Oryctolagus cuniculus: one gene and its partner. The protein of the gene in region 2 purifies or fractionates together with the protein of the main gene of each other region. This does not show direct contact. Links are inferred from orthologs where the notes say so. Each region holds a gene or a part of one and is shown on either strand. Other genes may lie near its edges.

Region 1 (8,863 bases), on a different chromosome or scaffold from region 2:
TGGCTTCCCCCCCATACCGTCCCTCCCACCCACAACCCTCCCCTTTCCCACTCCCTCTCCCCTTCCATTCACATCAAGATTCATTTTCGATTATCTTAATATGCAAATTTCATCTCTCTTGATTCCTTCTCCGTCTTCCTAGCCACCTCTTCCCTCACAGGTATGAAAAGGGAGAACCTAGTGAAACACCGAAGAAGGAATCTAACTGTGATGAGCCTCTTTCTCGATAGAAAGATGTGCAGCATGAAGACAGGAGCTACTTACACTGGACGATGTATTTCCTCTCTAATTCAGTGGGGAAGACTAGGGGGGTGTGGGAACAGCGAGAACCTGGAGAAGAGACTAGGAAGTATACACGAATAATGTCAAGGGCAAGACAATTCTGAGAAGAGAAAAGTTTAAAACAACAAATGAAAGCCCATCATGGAAACACAAATATCAAAGGATTCGGCAATCCCTAAAATCTAACAAGTCAGATCTTGGGCCAGCTGTTGTGGCACAGGGGTCAACCCAGCACTTGAGACAGCTGAACGCCACGTCAGAGGACCCTTGTTGGTCCTGGCTACTTCTCTTCTCATCCAGCTTTCTGCTAATGCCCCTGGCAGGCAGCAGGTGCTGGCCAGGGGCTGGGGTTCCTACCACCCATGTGGAAGTCCCAGATGGAGTTCTCGATGATGAGGGCATCTGGAGAGTAAACCAGCAGACGGAAGATATATTCTCTCTTCCTGTCATTCTGCCTTTCAAATACTGAAATTTTTCTTAAAAGTTAATCTTACTTTTTGAGGTTTTTCCTGGTATATGCTAAATAACTGCCAAAAACATCTACCTGAATGCTCACGGGATCCTTCGTTTTCCAAATCTACAAGTCACATCCTGTATTTAAATATACTAACGAATATAAATTCACATTGGGGCTATCTGGGTTTTACCTTAAAACTTCTAGAAATCGACTTCCCTGCAAAGCAAGCTTCCTGTATGAGACACCCCTTCCCCCCAAAAGGCACGTAACAGCTCTAATTTGGCGAAACCTGGATAAAATGAAATACCAGGTTGTGATATTTTTAGGTGAAGCATGATCAAGTTTCCAGGACTTTTCCCAGGAGGGCTGCAGAGTATGCAAGAGCGAGGCCAGGTGAAAGAAAGGCAGAGGAAACACTAGTTTGGTGCTCTGTGTTGGCCTGGTAAGCACTGGTTGACTTGTCCCCAGCCTCCTGCATCTTTGCTAACATCTCCCACTTCACCCCTGTTTCCATGGTGATGCCTTTGGGACACTACGGAAGGGGGTTCTCCCCAAATGGGACACCCCGCTAAGACTCCCAGATTATCTTTAAAAAAAAAAAAAAAAAGAAGAAAAGAAAAAAAACCTATTCAAAAACTTGCCGAAAATCCTAATGAGGTCAAGAAAGAAAAAAAAACAAAAACAGCACTTGGCACAATTTTCTGTTCTCCATTCTACACCAATGAGAGGTCAGAACACTACACAGAACATGTTCCCACAAAGTGGGAATCAAGTTCCCAAATATGGCCAGGCCCTAAATATAGCCCCCCCCTCCTTTTTTATTTATTTTTTTTTTTTCATCCAAATACACCCAATTAAGCTTGCGGATGAGGAAATGGTGGTGGGCAGCCAGGCAGGGGACACAGGAAACAGTGACAGTACAACTCCAGCGTCTCTCCCAGCAAGGGCTGCGGAGTGAGGACACCGTGACACCCATGCCGCTTCCTCCAGGTGCTGCACCCCGGCTCTCAGGGCTGCGTCAAGGCAGGGAAGACATGACCCGCCCTGGGTCTCAAGTAATTCTACCACTGAGAAGGCTCAGCCAGCAGAGGCGTAGAGTTCCCCTCACACGGGAAGCACTGGGTTAGCCCAGAGGAAACGTGAGAATGCAGCCGTGGTAGGTGGAAGTCCTCACGGCCTACTTTTCAAACCCCACACCCCAGACACACACCCACGCCCGTCCTTTCTTACAGAATGAGAGAGGGGGCTGTTTTCCACCAGTGGAATTCGAGAACAAGCAGAACAGACAACACAGAACTTGCTGCAAAATGTGTTTCCAAGTTGCGCTTGAAACTTTTTAGAGGTGTATTACACAGGAGTAACAATAACCCGCTTCTGCGGGGCGTTTTGGCCAAAGAGCGTGTGAGAGCGCTGAAGAACTGCACCTTGCAAGGCGCCTTCCAGAACTTGGCCCTTCAAAGCAGGGCAGCCCCGGGATACTCAAGACTGGGTCCTGGGGGCAGACTGGGTCCTGGGGGGCAGACTGGGTCCTGGGGGCAGACCGGGGATACTCAAGACTGGGTCCTGGGGGGCAGACCGGGTCCTGGGGGGCAGACCGGGTCCCGGGGGGCAGACTGGGTCCCGGGGGGCAGACTGGGTCCCGGGGGCAGACTGGGTCCTGGGGGCAGACCGGGGATACTCAAGACTGGGTCCTGGGGGGAAGACTGGGTCCCGGGGGGCAGACCGGGTCCTGGGGGCAGACTGGGTCCTGGGGGCAGACCGGGTCCTGGGGGGCAGACTGGGTCCCGGGGGGCAGACTGGGTCCCGGGGGGCAGACCGGGGATACTCAAGACTGGGTCCTGGGGGCAGACCGGGGATACTCAAGACTGGGTCCTGGGGGGCAGACCGGGTCCTGGGGGCAGACTGGGTCCTGGGGGGCAGACTGGGTCCTGGGGGGAAGACTGGGTCCCGGGGGACAGACCGGGTCCTGGGGGCAGACCGGGTCCTGGGGGGCAGACTGGGTCCTGGGGACAGACCGGGTCCTGGGGGCAGACTGGGTCCTGGGGGCAGACCGGGGATACTCAAGACTGGGTCCTGGGGGCAGACCGGGTCCTGGGGGCAGACCGGGTCCTGGGGGGCACACCGGGTCCTGGGGGGCACACCGGGTCCTGGGGGGCAGACTGGGTCCTGGGGGGCAGACTGGGTCCCGGGGGGCAGACTGGGTCCCGGGGACAGACCGGGTCCTGGGGGGCAGACCGGGTCCTGGGGGGCAGACCGGGTCCTGGGGGCAGACTGGGTCCTGGGGGGCAGACTGGGTCCTGGGGGCAGACTGGGTCCCGGGGGGCAGACTGGGTCCCGGGGGGCAGACTGGGTCCTGGGGACAGACCGGGTCCTGGGGGGCAGACCGGGTCCTGGGGGGCAGACCGGGTCCTGGGGGGCAGACTGGGTCCTGGGGGGCAGACTGGGTCCCGGGGGGCAGACTGGGTCCCGGGGGGCAGACTGGGTCCTGGGGACAGACCGGGTCCTGGGGGGCAGACCGGGTCCTGGGGGGCAGACCGGGTCCTGGGGGGCAGACCGGGTCCTGGGGGCAGACCGGGTCCTGGGGGCAGACTGGGTCCTGGGGGGCAGACTGGGTCCTGGGGGGCAGACCGGGTCCTGGGGGCAGACCGGGGATACTCAAGACTGGATCCTGGGGGCAGACCGGGTCCTGGGGGCAGACTGGGTCCTGGGGGCAGACTGGGTCCCGGGGGGCAGACTGGGTCCTGGGGACAGACCGGGTCCTGGGGGGCAGACCGGGTCCTGGGGGGCAGACCGGGTCCTGGGGGCAGACTGGGTCCTGGGGGGCAGACTGGGTCCTGGGGGCAGACTGGGTCCCGGGGGACAGACCGGGTCCTGGGGGCAGACCGGGTCCTGGGGGCAGACTGGGTCCTGGGGGGCAGACTGGGTCCTGGGGGCAGACTGGGTCCTGGGGGGCAGACTGGGTCCCGGGGGACAGACCGGGTCCTGGGGGCAGACTGGGTCCCGGGGGGCAGACCGGGTCCCGGGGACAGACCGGGTCCTGGGGGGCACACCGCGTCCTGGGGGGCACACCGCGTCCTGGGGGGCAGACCGGGTCCTGGGGGGCAGACCGGGTCCTGGGGGCAGACTGGGTCCTGGTCCGCGGACAGCTGCGGTTCTCGGCGCCTCCGCTTTCTCACCTGCGAAATGGAACTCCAGGGAGAGACCCCGACGCCACGCACTCCCAGCGGCCCAGGCTGCACGCGTGCCGGCTGTTCTTAGCCACAGGTGCGCGCCGGGAACGCCGGATCGACTCCGCTCTCCCGAGACCCCAGACGGCCCCTCGCACACATGGCGCGGCGCGCGCCCTCGGAACGACGCGGAAACCGCACACTTCCATTCATCCGTCAGGCAGCGCCAGCAGGGACCGGAGGGGGCCGGGGGCCTCCCTTCGCCGCGGCTGCTCCGGCACAACTTCCCAACACGCACACAATGGGCCGCGGCCGCCCTCGGCGATGACAGCTCGCCGCGCCGCAGGGCCCGGGCGCCTCGGCCCACGCGCGGCCAAGCGCAGCGCACGCCCCGGCACGCAAGGAGCCCACGGGAACTCCCCGAAACCCGGGGCACCCGGAGTTGTGCAGAGGCGGAGGGGGCCGCCCCGGGGCCACGCGCGTCCACGGCGGCCCCCCGCCAGCCCCGAAGCCCGCGCCGGGCCCGCGCCCCTCACCTGAAGGCGGGTCCTTCCTTGGGCGCCCGGCCCTGGGCGCACGCCGCCGCGGAGCCGCTGCCGCCGCTGCCCCTTTTGTTGAAGAGCTTCTGGAGCAGGGTCGGGGCCATGATGCGGCGGCGGCTCCGGCCCCGCGCTCGGCGGGCGGCGGCGGCTCAGCGCGCAGCCCGGGGCGGCGGCGGCGGCGGCGGCGGGGTCATCGCGGGGGCGGCGAGCCTGGCGGGAGCGCGGGGCGCCGGGCTGAGGAACTCTGCTGCGCGCCGGTCCTGTGACGGAGCCGGCCCCCGCCGCCGCCGCCGCCGCCGCCGCCTCGCGCGCTGACAGTTATCTCCTGCGGGAGGAGCCCGCAGCCACACGGCGGCGCGGGAGGAGCGCGCTGCCCCGGCGGCGGCCATTGGCCCGCGCCCGCGCCCGCCCCCGGGCGCACGTAACCCGGCGGGAGGCGCAGCCGGCTGGGGCGCGCGGGCGGCGGGGCGGGCGCGGGCGCGGCGCTTAAAGGGCCCGGTGGGCGCGGGGCGCGGGGCGCGGGGCGCGGGGCGCGGGGCGCGGGGCGCGGGGCGCGGGGCGCGGGGCGCGGGGCGCGGGGCGCGGGGCGCGGGGCGCGGGGCGCGCCTCGGCTCCTGCGAGAAAGCCGCCGGCCGATCTTTGTTCGTGCGAGACAAAGCAAAGCCCCCGAACTTGATCCTGGCTTTGTGCGGGCGCAGAAGCTCGTTAGTGCCAGGCGTGGGCAGGCGTGGGCAGGCGGGGAGGGCGTCTCGCGCGGGGGTGCGTTTTCCCAGGGCTGTGAGGGGAAGCGCGCAGCGCCCGAGTCGTTGGCACGTTTCTTGCATAGCCAGGTTGGGTTTCTTCAGGCTTTTTTTTTTTTTTTTTTTTAAACTGTTGGTTTGGTTTGTTTTGTTTTGTTTAAATTCTTAGTTCTGTTTGGCATCTTGGGCCACCATATTCTTGTATAACCACGTTTACAGAAAAAGTTGCGTGTGAAAGGTTGAGCCCTTAAAAAAAAAAATAAAAGCTAGCACTCACTACATACACACTTAGAAACTTACAACCGGCCTGTGACCAGAGGGCGCTTTCCTAACCCTATTCCGTGACCACGCACACGGATGTTTTACCTTTATCCACAGCAGGTATTACTTGGCTTGGGGAAGGTGGAGTTTTTGTACGTGGGTTAAGCCTTCGTGTGAGGAGACTCTAAAATGCGCTGTAGGACTGAAGTCTTAATCTGTGTTTTATGGCGCTGGGCTTAGTGGGTAACAGCTGTGCTGGTAAGACGTCAGCCGGCCGCTCCTCTCTGGGCGGTGAAGGGTGACTCACCTGTGCGCCTAGGTTTCTTCGAAATAACTCTCCGGCACTCCGGAAGGCCAGTGTGTCTCCACAAAGTTCTCAGGAATACCTACTTTGGACTTAATTTCCCTTATCATTTTTTAAGTTGTCTAAGTGATTTATGTATTTTATTTGAGAAGTGGAGGGACGGACAAAGGTCTCCCATCCACCGTTCACTGCCCCAAATACCTGCAGGGGCTGGGCCGGGCGGAAGGCAGGAGCTGGAGCTGGATGGGGATCTGGCCCACAGGGGCAGGGACTTGGTGCCTCTCGGGGTTTGGTTAGCATGAAGCTGCACCGCGGAGCAGAGCCAGGACTCAGAGCCGGGCACTCTGATGAGGGGTGCGGGCGTCCTCACCGCACACCTGCCCCTGTCATTTGTTATTGTGTGGTTTTCAGGTCTTGGTTGGAGATCAAGCTGTAAGCAATGAAACTTCACAAAGGTTGGGGAAAGACAGCAGAAACTGAAATGCAGGCATTTTTTTCTTCTAGTTTTTTACTGTTAGATTGGTGGGTTAGGTGTTCATGCTGGTGAGCAGTTACCCCTTTGCACAGTTTAGAGGACACAGATCTTGATTTGCAACTCTGCTTTCTCTGTTTCCTGAGAATTTTTTTTTTTTTTTTTTTTTTTTTTTTTTGACAGGCAGAGTGGACAGTGAGAGAGAGAGACAGAGAGAAAGGTCTTCCTTTGCCGTTGGTTCACCCTCCAAAGGCCGCCGCGGCCGGCACGCTGCAGCCAGCGCACCGCGCTGATCCGATGGCGGGAGCCAGGAGCCAGGTGCTTTTCCTGGTCTCCCATGGGGTGCAGGGCCCAAGCACCTGGGCCATCCTCCACTGCCTTCCCGGGCCACAGCAGAGAGCTGGCCTGGAAGAGGGGCAACAGGGACAGAATCTGGTGCCCCGACCGGGACTAGAACCCGGTGTGCCGGCACCGCTAGGCGGAGGATTAGCCTAGTGAGCCGCGGCGCCGGCCTATTCCTGAGAATCTTTATTGCATAGGGCTACCAATATTCCTAAGTAGCTTATATATTAGGTATTGGCCTCACCTGTTGTGGCTCATTAAGACATGGCTCCAGGTCTGTGATGGCTGGCAACACATCACCTTTCCTACCCCATCCTTGGTCAGAAAATGTCCCTTATTCAGTCTATGAGCCTAGCAGATTTTCTAACTACTTATTGAAAGGAATCAACATGGTGTCTCTTCTTCCTCACCTACAAAGACTTTCATGCCGAGCCCAGTTCAAGTGTACGAGATCACCCAAAAGAGGGAATTCGAAAAATTCTAGTTCGGTGTGGCTGTTTGGACACGTGACTATAACGTCATATCACAAGATCTAGGTTCAAGGCCTGGCTGCCAATGCCAGCGTCCTACTGATGCAGACTGCAAGGCAGCAGGTGACAGCTGAAGTAGTTGGGTCCCTGCGACCCACAGGAGAGGCCTGGATTGGGTTCCGAACCCAGCTTTGGCCTGGACCAGTCAGGCTATTGCAGGAACTTGGGGACTCTCTCTCTCTCACTCCCTTCTCCCCCCATCTCTCTCTGCCTCTCAGATAATTTTGTACAAAAGAGCCCAGCCATCATCTTCAGTGTTGGTCTAGACTGAGCAACTCTAAAGAGAGACTGTGCCTTTAAAACTATTAGATTACTGCATAAGCCGGGGGAGAAACAAGGAACCACAGTGGTTCCCCTCTCTCCTCTTTCTTCCTGTGCTCCCTCTCAGCATCGTTTTCGTCCTCAGCCTGGTTTTGGCCATACATCCTGCTTTGGATTTTTCAAGTGCACAGAAATCCTAGCCAACAGAATTCTGGGAAGCTGCTCCGAACACTTCCCCCAAGTCTTACGGTTTCTTTTCTTGGCTATTCCAGGCATCTACAGGAGCCCAGTCTTCTGCCTGTCATCCACTGGTCAAGGTCCCTGTCTCCAGCACTGCTTTAATTCGTTCACCTCATCACTCCGTCTTAGAACATATACCAGCCGGCTGCTCCTGTGTGCAGCTGCCCAGAGAAGAGGAATTAAACAATATTCTGAGTTGTTTCCCTAAGGAGGGAAAAGAGGAGTTAGAAGAGGGCTAACTTATTTATGCCAGTCCATTCTGACTTCTGGTGACAGTTCTTGTCTCTTAATTAGTATTTGTTCTGGGCCGGCACTGTAGTGTAGTGGGTAAAGCTGCAGCCTGCAGAGCCATCATCCCACATGGACACCAGTTCGAGTCCCTGCTGCTCTACTTCAATCCAGTTCCCTGCTAATGTGCCTGGGAAAGCAGCGGAGGATGGCCCACGTGCTTGGGCCCCTGCATGCATGTAGGAGACCCAGAAGAAGTTCCTGGCTCCTAACTTCAGACTGGCCCAGCTCCGGACATTGCAGCCTTTTGCCGAGTGAACCAGTGAATGGAATACCTCTCTCTCTCCCTCTCTCTTTCTCTCCCCCCTTCCCCTCTCTCTAACTCTGCCTTTCAAATAAATAAATATTAAAATAAAAAATGTGTTCTGTAAAATGTTTTAATTTTTGCCTCTACAGTTGGGCTATTGTGTCGTGTGGTCTACGATACCAGTTACCCCCTTCTTCCTCACAGAGCAGGCTGGAAGAAAGGGAGTTGTGGGAGAAGGAATAATTCTGGAAAAGGTTTTCTCACTTAATAGAGTCTCTTTTTTCCTTCCTTGGCATGTTGTATGTCTAGATAGAGTGCTACAACTATCTTGGTACAAGGCTGAGAGTGAAACCAAGACTGGAGATGGCCTAGCAGGGAGGTGGAAGCAAGCTGGGTCCCCCCTAGTCCATCCACCCAGAGCTGCCATTCCCCAATAGGTAAGATAATAACCCTGTTATCTGAAGCCTAAAGCTGTCTATAAGAGATTCATGTGTCCTGTTCTTTTCTCTTATTACATAAGGCAAATAAACTGCTATGTATTTAACTCACAGTATATACCACAGAAAACAGTCTTTGCCAATGCTTCTCTTCCGTTTTCTCATATTTTAAGTCATTTTGCAAATCCTTTACAGAAGAAAAATAAAAGAAGAATGAGGAATGACTCGAGGGGGAGCGGCGTTGTGGCACAGCAGGTTAAGCTACCACCTGTGACACTGGCATCTCATATGAC
Region 2 (8,646 bases):
GCGGGCGGTCAGATTGGCCGGTCCTTCCCCAGAGGCTGTGTCCCGTGGTGCGAAAAACAAAATCGTTCTCGCTGTTTGTAAGCAAAGAAGCCGACACCTGCGGAGGACTGGGGGCGGCTGGGAAAGCCCCGGGCAGCTGTGGCCGGGTCCAGAGGGCGGGGTTGCACCCAGAGCCGGTGCGCGAGCCTCCCCTCCCCTCCCCTCTGAACTCTCAGAGCATCCGGCTCCCGAATCCCCGCTGCTCGCGTCCCTGGCACCTGCGCCCCCACGGGCCTGCGCCACGTCCCCTCCCGCCGAGACTCACGCCATTCCTTCCTCGTGGGGGAGGCCACCTCGCACTCAGTGTGCAGGATCGCTCCAGAGAGGCTTCCCGCAGCGAGGGCTGGGCCTCTGAATTCTCTCGCGCCGAGGCAAGAACTGGGATAAACCCAGCCAGGGACCCCCGGCCCCGACGACACAAGCGGCTTAAGTAGAGAGCCCTGCCTGTGGTCCAGCGTTTCTAGCGCTCGCCGGGGAGCCCCTCCTGTGCCAAGTTGGGTTCCGGTTCTCTCCCGTTAACTTGCTCTTCAGAGATGAGCGAGCGGGCTGGTTGGTTCTGAGTGTCAGGATACAGGATACCATGTGGCAGAGGATGTTAACTTGCCTGAGCCGTTGGCAAAGTGCCCAGAGGAAATGTGACCGGGTAATTCTGGCTTTGGGAACAGCTGTCTTTTTTTAGGCAGATGGATGACTCAGTGATGGTAAACAGACAAAATCCCACGGCCGGCGTGGCGCACTGCAGCACTGGCAACCCATATGGGCGCCGGTTCTAGTCCTGGCTGCTCCACTTCCGACCCAGCTCTCTGCTATGGCCTGGGAAAACAGTGGAAGATGGCCCAAGTCCTTGGGCCCCTGCACCCGTGTGGGAGACCCGGAGGAAGCTCCTGGCTCCTGGCTTTGGCCCAGCCAAGTCCTCAGCTGGTGATCATTGGCAGCCATTCTGGGGAGTGAACCAGGAGATGGAAGATCTCTGTCCTCTGTCCTTCTCTCTGTAATTCTGCCTTTTAAATAAATAAACCATAAAAAGAAATCCTTCTGCGACCTCTCTTAAAACTGAAACTTTTTTTTTTTTAAGGTTTATTTATTTGAAAGAGTTACACAGAGAAGGAGAGGCAGAGAGAGAGAGAGAAAGTCTATCTGCTGGTTCATTCCCCAATTGGCCGTAACAGCTACAGCTGCTCCAATTTGAAGCCAGGAGCCAGAAGCTTCTTCCGGGTCTCCCACCCGGGTACAGGGGCCCAAGCACTTGGGCCATCTTCTGCTTTCCCAGGCCACAGCAGAGAGCTGGATCAGAAGTGGAGCGACCAGGACTTGAACTGGTGCCCATATGGGATGCCAGCACTGCAGGTGATGGCTTTACCTGCTATGGCGCAGCACCGGCCCCAGCTGTTAAGTTCTTACAGATTCATGTAATTTGAGTAAGCATCTCTAAAGGGTAGGCAGCCATTGGGATACCGGCATCTGGCTCCTGACACAGCTGCTCCGCTTCCGAACCAGCTCCCTGCTAACGTGCCCGGGGAAGAAAAGCGGCAGAACTTGGCCCCAAATGCCTGGATCCCTGCCACCCATGGGGGAGACCTGGATGGAGTTCCAGGCTCCTGACTTCAGCCAGGCCCAGCCACGGCTCTCTGGGGAGTGAACCTGTAGATTCTCTCACTCTACCTTTGCCTTTCAAATACATGAACTAGATCGTGTGTGTGTTGGGGGGAAGATGGCAGCTAAAGCCTGGGGAGTTGGGAAAGATACTAATGGCCCAAATCAGGCTACTGTGACTGAATGGCTTCCCCTCATTGGAGCCTCATCAGCCGATGGCATGGAAATAGTGGAATCTGGACCGGGACTGAGAAAGGGAATTCCTGGAATTAAAGTTCCAAGATGGGGAAAAAATTGTCTTTAAGCTTAAAACGTCACCAATGAGTGTTCGTTTCAGTAACACCTTTTGGTAAGAGAAAAACCAGGAAAAAACATTCCCAGAGTTTGAGAGACCAAAAACCTGATGGAAACAAGACTGTGCAATTAGTGAATGTAGAGTAATTAAAAAGATTTGAGATTTATTCAAGTATCAAAGGCAGCGTTAGAACGAGGACAGACGGAATCTTCCCTCCGCTGGTTCACGACCCAAATAGCTTAGCGGCAACAGTTGGGGCTGGGTCAGGCACGAGCCAGGAGCTTCCTCCAGGGCTCCCACCTGGGCGCAGGGGCCCGGGCACCTGGGCCACCTGCTGCCGCCTTCCCGGGCATATTAGGGAGCCAGATCAGAAGTGGAGCAGCCGGTACCCCTATGGGACAGCCGCACTGCAGGCGGTGGCTTTACCCGCTAGACCCTAAAGAATGGAATTTTTAACCCTGAACTGTCACCTTTATTCCTTGGAACAGCAGAGAGAGACAGGGAGAGCTTCCATCCGCAGGTTCGCCATCTGGATGGTCGCAGCAGCTGGGGCTGGGCCAGGAGCCGCGCACCCTGCGTGGGTCTCCCACGTTGAGCAGGGACCCTCCCCGAGCGGAACCCGGGCAGCGCCCTAACCACGGCTCCAAACGCCCGCCCCTCCAGGGTCTCCTGCACTCTCCAAGCATCCAGCGAGCTCCTGCGTGGCTGACAGCCGAGGAAAAGCGGAATTCCTGGCACGGCTGCGCTTCGGCGGGCCCCGCTCTACCCTCGATTCGGCTCGCTAAGCGCAGCGGCGGGGCTGACCGGGATCAGGGGAACGTGGGTGGCGGCCGCCCCCGACCCCGGGACCTCCGCCCGGGCTCCGTCACCCCCTCAAGCCCGGAGGAGCACCGGAGGCGCCACGAGTTTTACAGACTACATTATGGAATAACTGATATTCGGTCAAAACAAACAATTTCCAAGTGTGGCTCCAACGGTTCCGCGCAGGGAACCGAGTCCCGCGCATGCGCACCGGCGCCCAGCCGCCCAAGCCGAGCACCGCCCCTGTTGCCTGACGGCCGCCGCACCTTCCACCCTCTTCGCGAGGATGGGGTTTATCAGCTATTTAGTGAAAACCGGCGGTGAAACTAAAAGGAGTTACAGCAGGTTTTTACGTTCTCGTCTTTATTTTTCTGTCTTTTGTGGGCAGAAAGTCTAGGATTGGCTCTATTTCCCCCTCAAATCTTTTTGTTTGGTTGGTTTTTACATTTTAAGCACCCCCACACGTTTGAAATGGTTTTGTCCAGCAGCGCTTGCGGGTACGGTTTAAACCATTCTGTACTTCTCTGAGAGGGGGAGCGGCGCAGCGGCGTGGAAGAGGAAGGTGTCGGGTTGGGAAATTCCCGCTGCCACTAGACTTCGGAGTTACGGGGGCGCGGGCCTTCGTTCCCAGACCCAAGGACCTGGTGGGGCCTCGCTCGCCTCGCGGTGCGGGGTGCGCTCGGGCAATCCGGGCGCCCCCGCGGCGGGCATGGGCGGATGGTACGGTCCGACCCAGTCACGCGCCTCTGGCTTGGCGCCGGGGCAGCCTGGACTGAGGGGACCGCGGGTGAGTGTGGCCGCCCGGGTCTGGGCGTCTCCCCCTCGGGGTCGGGCCCGCCGTGCAATGCGGCCGCGACCACCTGTCCCTTAGGGCCGGCTCCGGCCTCACCTTGACCTGTCCGGCGGGGACGGCGAGGGCCCGGCCGAGTGTGGGGCGGGCAGCGGTGGGCGAGTGGCTTGGGGCGTTGCGGAGAGCTGGCGATGTGGAGGGAGCGTGAGGCCACATCCTAGCTCCTCGCGGGAGGAGGAGGAGCCGGGGCCGTTGTTTGGTTCCGATTTGACGTTGCCCTGCCTCTCTCCCGGTGCCCGCTGCTCCAGCGCCGGCCCGGGTTTGCCCTGGAAGACCGCAGTTCTTCCTAGGGTTGGTGGACGTGGCCGAGAATGCTTGGTCCAGCGAGGTCAGCAGGGGGTGAGAAGCAGCGTGCCGTGGACACCCGGCGCCACCCCGGTGTCCAGCCAGGCTGGTGGGGGGGACCTTTGTCACTGCAGAGAAAGGCGGCAGCCGGTGGCACTGGCTTATCACTGTTGTCATCGCGTCCTTGAGTAACCCTGGCACGTGACCTTGTGTCTGCTGTCCGCGACAACCTAGGTGAGGGCAGCAGCAGTGGTGCCCGCGGGTTCCAGCCGGAAGGAAGCCCCGAGGGAGACCGGTTAGGGGCTGCTGCATGCTCACTGCGGGTCACCTGGCCCCTGCTGGATCTGCGGGGGCTCCTTCAACCCCCTGTGGGCCTCTGGGATCCTAGGGAGCTGGGGGGGGGGGGCGGTGGCAGGGGGGGAGAGTGTGGTGTGGCGGTCCCGGCCAGGCTGAGGAGTCGGGACACCTGCTTGTAGGGTGTAGAGCTCACTGGGCAGGGGAGGCTGGAGTGGAGCTAGAGGAAGGCAGTGGAAGAGAGCTTTATTTGAAAGTCGGAGTTACACAGAGAAGGAGAGAGAGACAGAGAGAGGTCTCCGCTGGTCATCCGCTGGTTCACTCCCCAAATGGCTGAAATGGCTGGAGCTGGGCTGATCCGAAGCCAGGAGCTTTTCTGGGTCTTCCACGTGGGTGCAGGGGCCCAAGCGCTTGGTTCATCTTCCACTGCTTTCCCAGGCCAGAGCAGAGAGCTGGATCGGAAGTGGAGCAGCCGGGACTCAAACCGGTGCTCTTTGAATTGGGTCTGGATTTTTTTTTTTTCCTGGGCCTGGAATACGTTGGGTGACAACGTCTCTGGTGCCCGCTCCGGCCTAGGCAGGCTGGAGCAGGTGTGCGTGGGGTGGGGCAGAGGGCTGCCTTGGTCTGGGTGTGTGGCTGGAAGGAGCCTTTTTTTTTTTTTCCTCCAAGGAAGGCGTGGCCCCCTTTCCAGGCTCTGGGGCAGGGCATCTGTGTCTGCTTTTGTTTTCCATCCTATTAGCCCTGCCTTGACCTCCTGGTTCCAGTTCTGGTTCTGGTCCCGGTCTGGTCCATGGTCACCTCCCATGTCTCCTCGTCCGCTGTGGGTCTCAAAGCCCTTGACGAATGTTCTTGACCTCACTGTCATGGAGCCCCTGGGTTCTTTCTTTAAACTCAGTCCATCGGCTCCTGTGCCACTGGACTGTCCCTGCGGTGGGCACCTCCATCTACTTCCTGTGCTGACGGCTGTCACCTCCCCGTGGGCAGCCCCTAAACCTGTTTATTTATCCGTCACGTGCTCTTTGGGTGCCCTGTGTGTCGGGAACCGCTGTAGACACCAGGGGACAACGTCTCTACCTGCTGGAAATTTTATTTTTATTTTTTAAGATTTGAAAGGCAGAGATATGGGGGGGAGAGAGAGAGAGATCAATCAATCTTCCATCCAATGGTTCGCTCCCCAAATGGCTGCAACAGCTGGGGCTGGGCCAGGCTGAAGCCAGGGGCCAGGAGCTTCTTCTGGGTCTCCCACGTGGGTGCAGGAGCCCAAGCACTTGGACCATTCCCAGGAGCGTTAGCAGGGAGCTGCATTGGAAGTGGAGCAGCCTGGACTCGAAGTGGCACCGATACGGGATGCTGGCACTGCCGGCAGACGCTTAACCTCTGTGCCACAGCGCCGGCCCCAGGAAATCTGGTCTTTGTAAAGGGGAAGTACACACAACCTGTTAGGAGACAGAAATGAGGCAGGGCGGGGGCAGGGCAGCTGTCCCGGGTGGGCTGGCTGGGGAGGCCTCGGACCGGGTACAGGGCAGGGGCAGGGCCGCGGGTGCCTGGGACCTTCTCCCCAGCCCTGCCCTCTCATCTGCAGTCGGTGTGGCCACGGCCTGCTCCAGGCGTCCCGGCTGAGCCTCGGGCCGTCTGCACTTGCGTCACCTGCCTCTGGGAACACCTCGGGCCAGGGGCCGGAGCCTCCGCTCTCCACGCTCACTCCCGCCCGCTTCTCTTCCGTTTTGCCTCTGCCATTGCCAGCCCCTGCTGCGTCCGGGTCCGCGGACGGCCAGGTGGGTTGCCATTGGTGGGCAGGCACGGGTGTGGGCTCTGTTTCTCTGACCTTGACCTCTGCTAGGGCACCAGTGACCTCCCTGTTACTTTGCAGGGGATCCCTGCCCACTGTTTTTTTTTTTTTTTTTCTGTCCAAATTGTGCTAAAATGCACATAAAGTGGACTATTGTCAGCACGCAGCTGTGTGTTGCTGAGTGATGGAACCGCCAGCACAGGCTGGCTCCAGTGCTGTCCACATGCCGGGCTTAAACATGAACTGCCCAACCCCCTGGCACCATTGCCCCTTCCGTCCCTGTGGATCCCACCACTCGGAGCCCGAGCCCCACCCCCACCCCCAACTTGGATGTGTGAATTTCAAAGTTCTTTTTGCACCAAAGGAAACTTTATCCTTCCCTTCCAGAGGTAAAGTCCCCCGTACAGTCTCGTGTCAATTGGGCATTGCTTGTCCTTTTGTGACGGGCTCCTGTCACCGGGCTTGCCATGCTGTGAGCCAGCCTGCACGGCCTCTTCCGCTGTCGTCCAGGTCTCCTGTGTCATGTTGGAGCCTCACTCTCCGAGGCCCCAGGGGTCTGCATCCTGGGGCTTCAAGACCCCTCCTCTGGGGGCCTCTGCCAGCCCCACTGGCCCCTCGGAGCACTGGACTGGGCAGGTTCCCGTGCCCCTCCCCGGGGAGGGCTGCTTCCTCGTCCAGACTGGGAGGCGCTCAGCAGGTGCGTGCTGGGCAGGGGTCCACTTGAAGTCCACTTTATGGACCTCTCAGTCGCCCTGGAGTTTGCGGGTCCCTGCAAGGGTAGCTGTCCTTCTCCTGTGCTGTCTGCCCCGGGGCCCTGTCTCAGTTCTGCCCGGAGGGCCTTTGGTGCGGCCATTCACCCCCACGCCCCCTCTCGTGGCTGCCTCTGGGCCCGATGGGATCTGGCTTCCGTTGTCTGTGCTGCCCCTGACGTGGCGCTGGGTGCAAAGCGGGTGCTGCCCCAGTGGTGAAGCGGGAAGTCCTAGAGGCGCCGGGGAGGTTCCGTGGGGTGCCTTCTGCTCACGGTGTCCCCTGCTCCCCAGGGCACCATGAACGCCATTGTCGCCCTGTGTCACTTCTGCGAGCTGCACGGCCCCCGCACACTCTTCTGCACGGAGGTGCTGCACGCCCCGCTTCCCCAGGGCGCCGGGAGCGGGGACAGCCCCGGCCAGGGCGAGCAGGCCGAGGAGGAGGAAGGCGGCATCCAGATGAGCGGCCGCGGCCGCGCCCACAGCCCCGCGGAGGGGGCCGGCGCCGAGCCGGGCAGCGCGGGGCCCAGGAAGTCGGACATGTGTGAGGCAAGTGCGCTCCGTTCAGGGTCTCGGGGAGGCGCGGTCCCCCAGCAGGCCTCCTCTCAAGTGGCACCCCGAAGGCATGTGCGTCTCTGTGCCCCCAAGTGCTGCCGTAGCTTTCCTAGCCGGCTCTGTGCTGAGTGTCGGCACCCACACGGCCCAGCCACAGCCCTGCGTCCCCTGGCGCACGTGCTCACCATGCCCCGGCTGTGAGCCTGGGGGAGTGGGCCTCAGCACCCCGGCAGATCAAGGCTCTGCTGGAGGCCCTGAGGTGGGCGCTGGGCGCTGGACGTGGGCATTGGACCTGGCCCTGCTTTAGGAACAGGCTGAGTTCTGTTGGTTTTTCTGAGAGGCAGGCGCTGTATCAGAGCCTCATCTATTGCTGCTAATGCCCATGAGGGGTCCTGGGGAGAGGGGAGCCCTCAGACACTGGCAGTGGGGGCCCTAGGGGGCTCAGCCAGCTTCCGGAGAGGCCTGGAGCCAGGGTTGGGGTTCACCTTGGAGGAGGCCTGCACCTCTTGGGCAGGGCCTTGCCTCGGGGCCCTGCTGTGCACGGCCCTGGGGGCCTGGATGCCTCAGGCTGCTGGTGGCCTCCGCGGGCTGCACGGTCCACTCCTGCAGCAGGCAGTGTGGCAGGCTGTTCCCAAGCCTCTGCCTCCAACCCTGTCCGTGCGGGGCCCCTGCCTGTGGCTGGGCCGAGTGTGTTCAGGACCAAGGACAGAAGCTCAGTGGCTGTGGACAGGGCTCCCGAGAGCAGCACAGCCCCGTGCCCTCAGGCCAGCCACAGTCCACCCCAGCCTCAGCTTTGTCTTCTGTGGAATGGGGTTTCTCACAGGGTTGCAGCTTAGATAGAGCGACGGACCTGTTCACAGAACCTGCCGCTCACATAAATAAATGCCTGTTCCCACCGACCTCTGACCACCTTGGGGACCTCTTGGTCCTGCTTTTCCTGTCCTGGAAACCTTTAACTCCTCAGATGAGTGCTAATCTAGGAGCCACTTATTCCTATGCAAAAATAGAGTTTTCTTTCGGGTTTATTTATCTGAGAGGCGGAGCTACGGAGAGAAAGGTCTTGCATCCCCTAGTTCACTCCCCAGGTGGCCGGAACGGCTGGGGCTGAGCTGATCCAGAGCCAGGAGCTTCTGGGTCTCCCATGTGGGTGCAGGGGCCCAAGCACTTGGGCCATCTTCTACTGCTTTCCCAGGCCATAGCAGAGAGCTGGCCTGGAAGAGGAGCAGCCGGGACACGAACTGGCACCCATGTGGGATGCCGGCGCCGCAGGCGAAGACTTAGCCTGCTACGCCACAGCGCCAGGTCTAAAATTAGAGCCTCCTAAATGCAGCTTGGCTTGGAGTGGGCTTGAGAGTTTGTCGGCTGCCCTGCAACTAACAGGTCTTCTCCTGCGGCCCCG

What was found.
Region 1: the proteins of FLCN (region 2) and FNIP2 purify together in Homo sapiens (affinity purification with western blotting; 5 studies listed by BioGRID and IntAct, with this or other methods). This does not show direct contact. The link is inferred for Oryctolagus cuniculus from reciprocal best matches to the Homo sapiens genes FLCN and FNIP2.

Annotation. Positions count from the first base shown.
Region 1 is NC_091439.1:138,589,426-138,598,288, forward strand, and holds the start of FNIP2 (folliculin-interacting protein 2), read right to left. Parts: upstream 4,768-8,863; 5' UTR 4,553-4,767; coding exon 4,443-4,552; intron 1-4,442.
Region 2 is NC_091448.1:66,241,609-66,250,254, reverse strand, and holds the start of FLCN (folliculin), read left to right. Parts: upstream 1-3,379; 5' UTR 3,380-3,515; exon of another isoform or gene 3,516-4,097; intron 4,098-5,739; 5' UTR 5,740-5,932; intron 5,933-6,986; 5' UTR 6,987-6,992; coding exon 6,993-7,241; intron 7,242-8,646. UniProt on the Homo sapiens protein: Multi-functional protein, involved in both the cellular response to amino acid availability and in the regulation of glycolysis.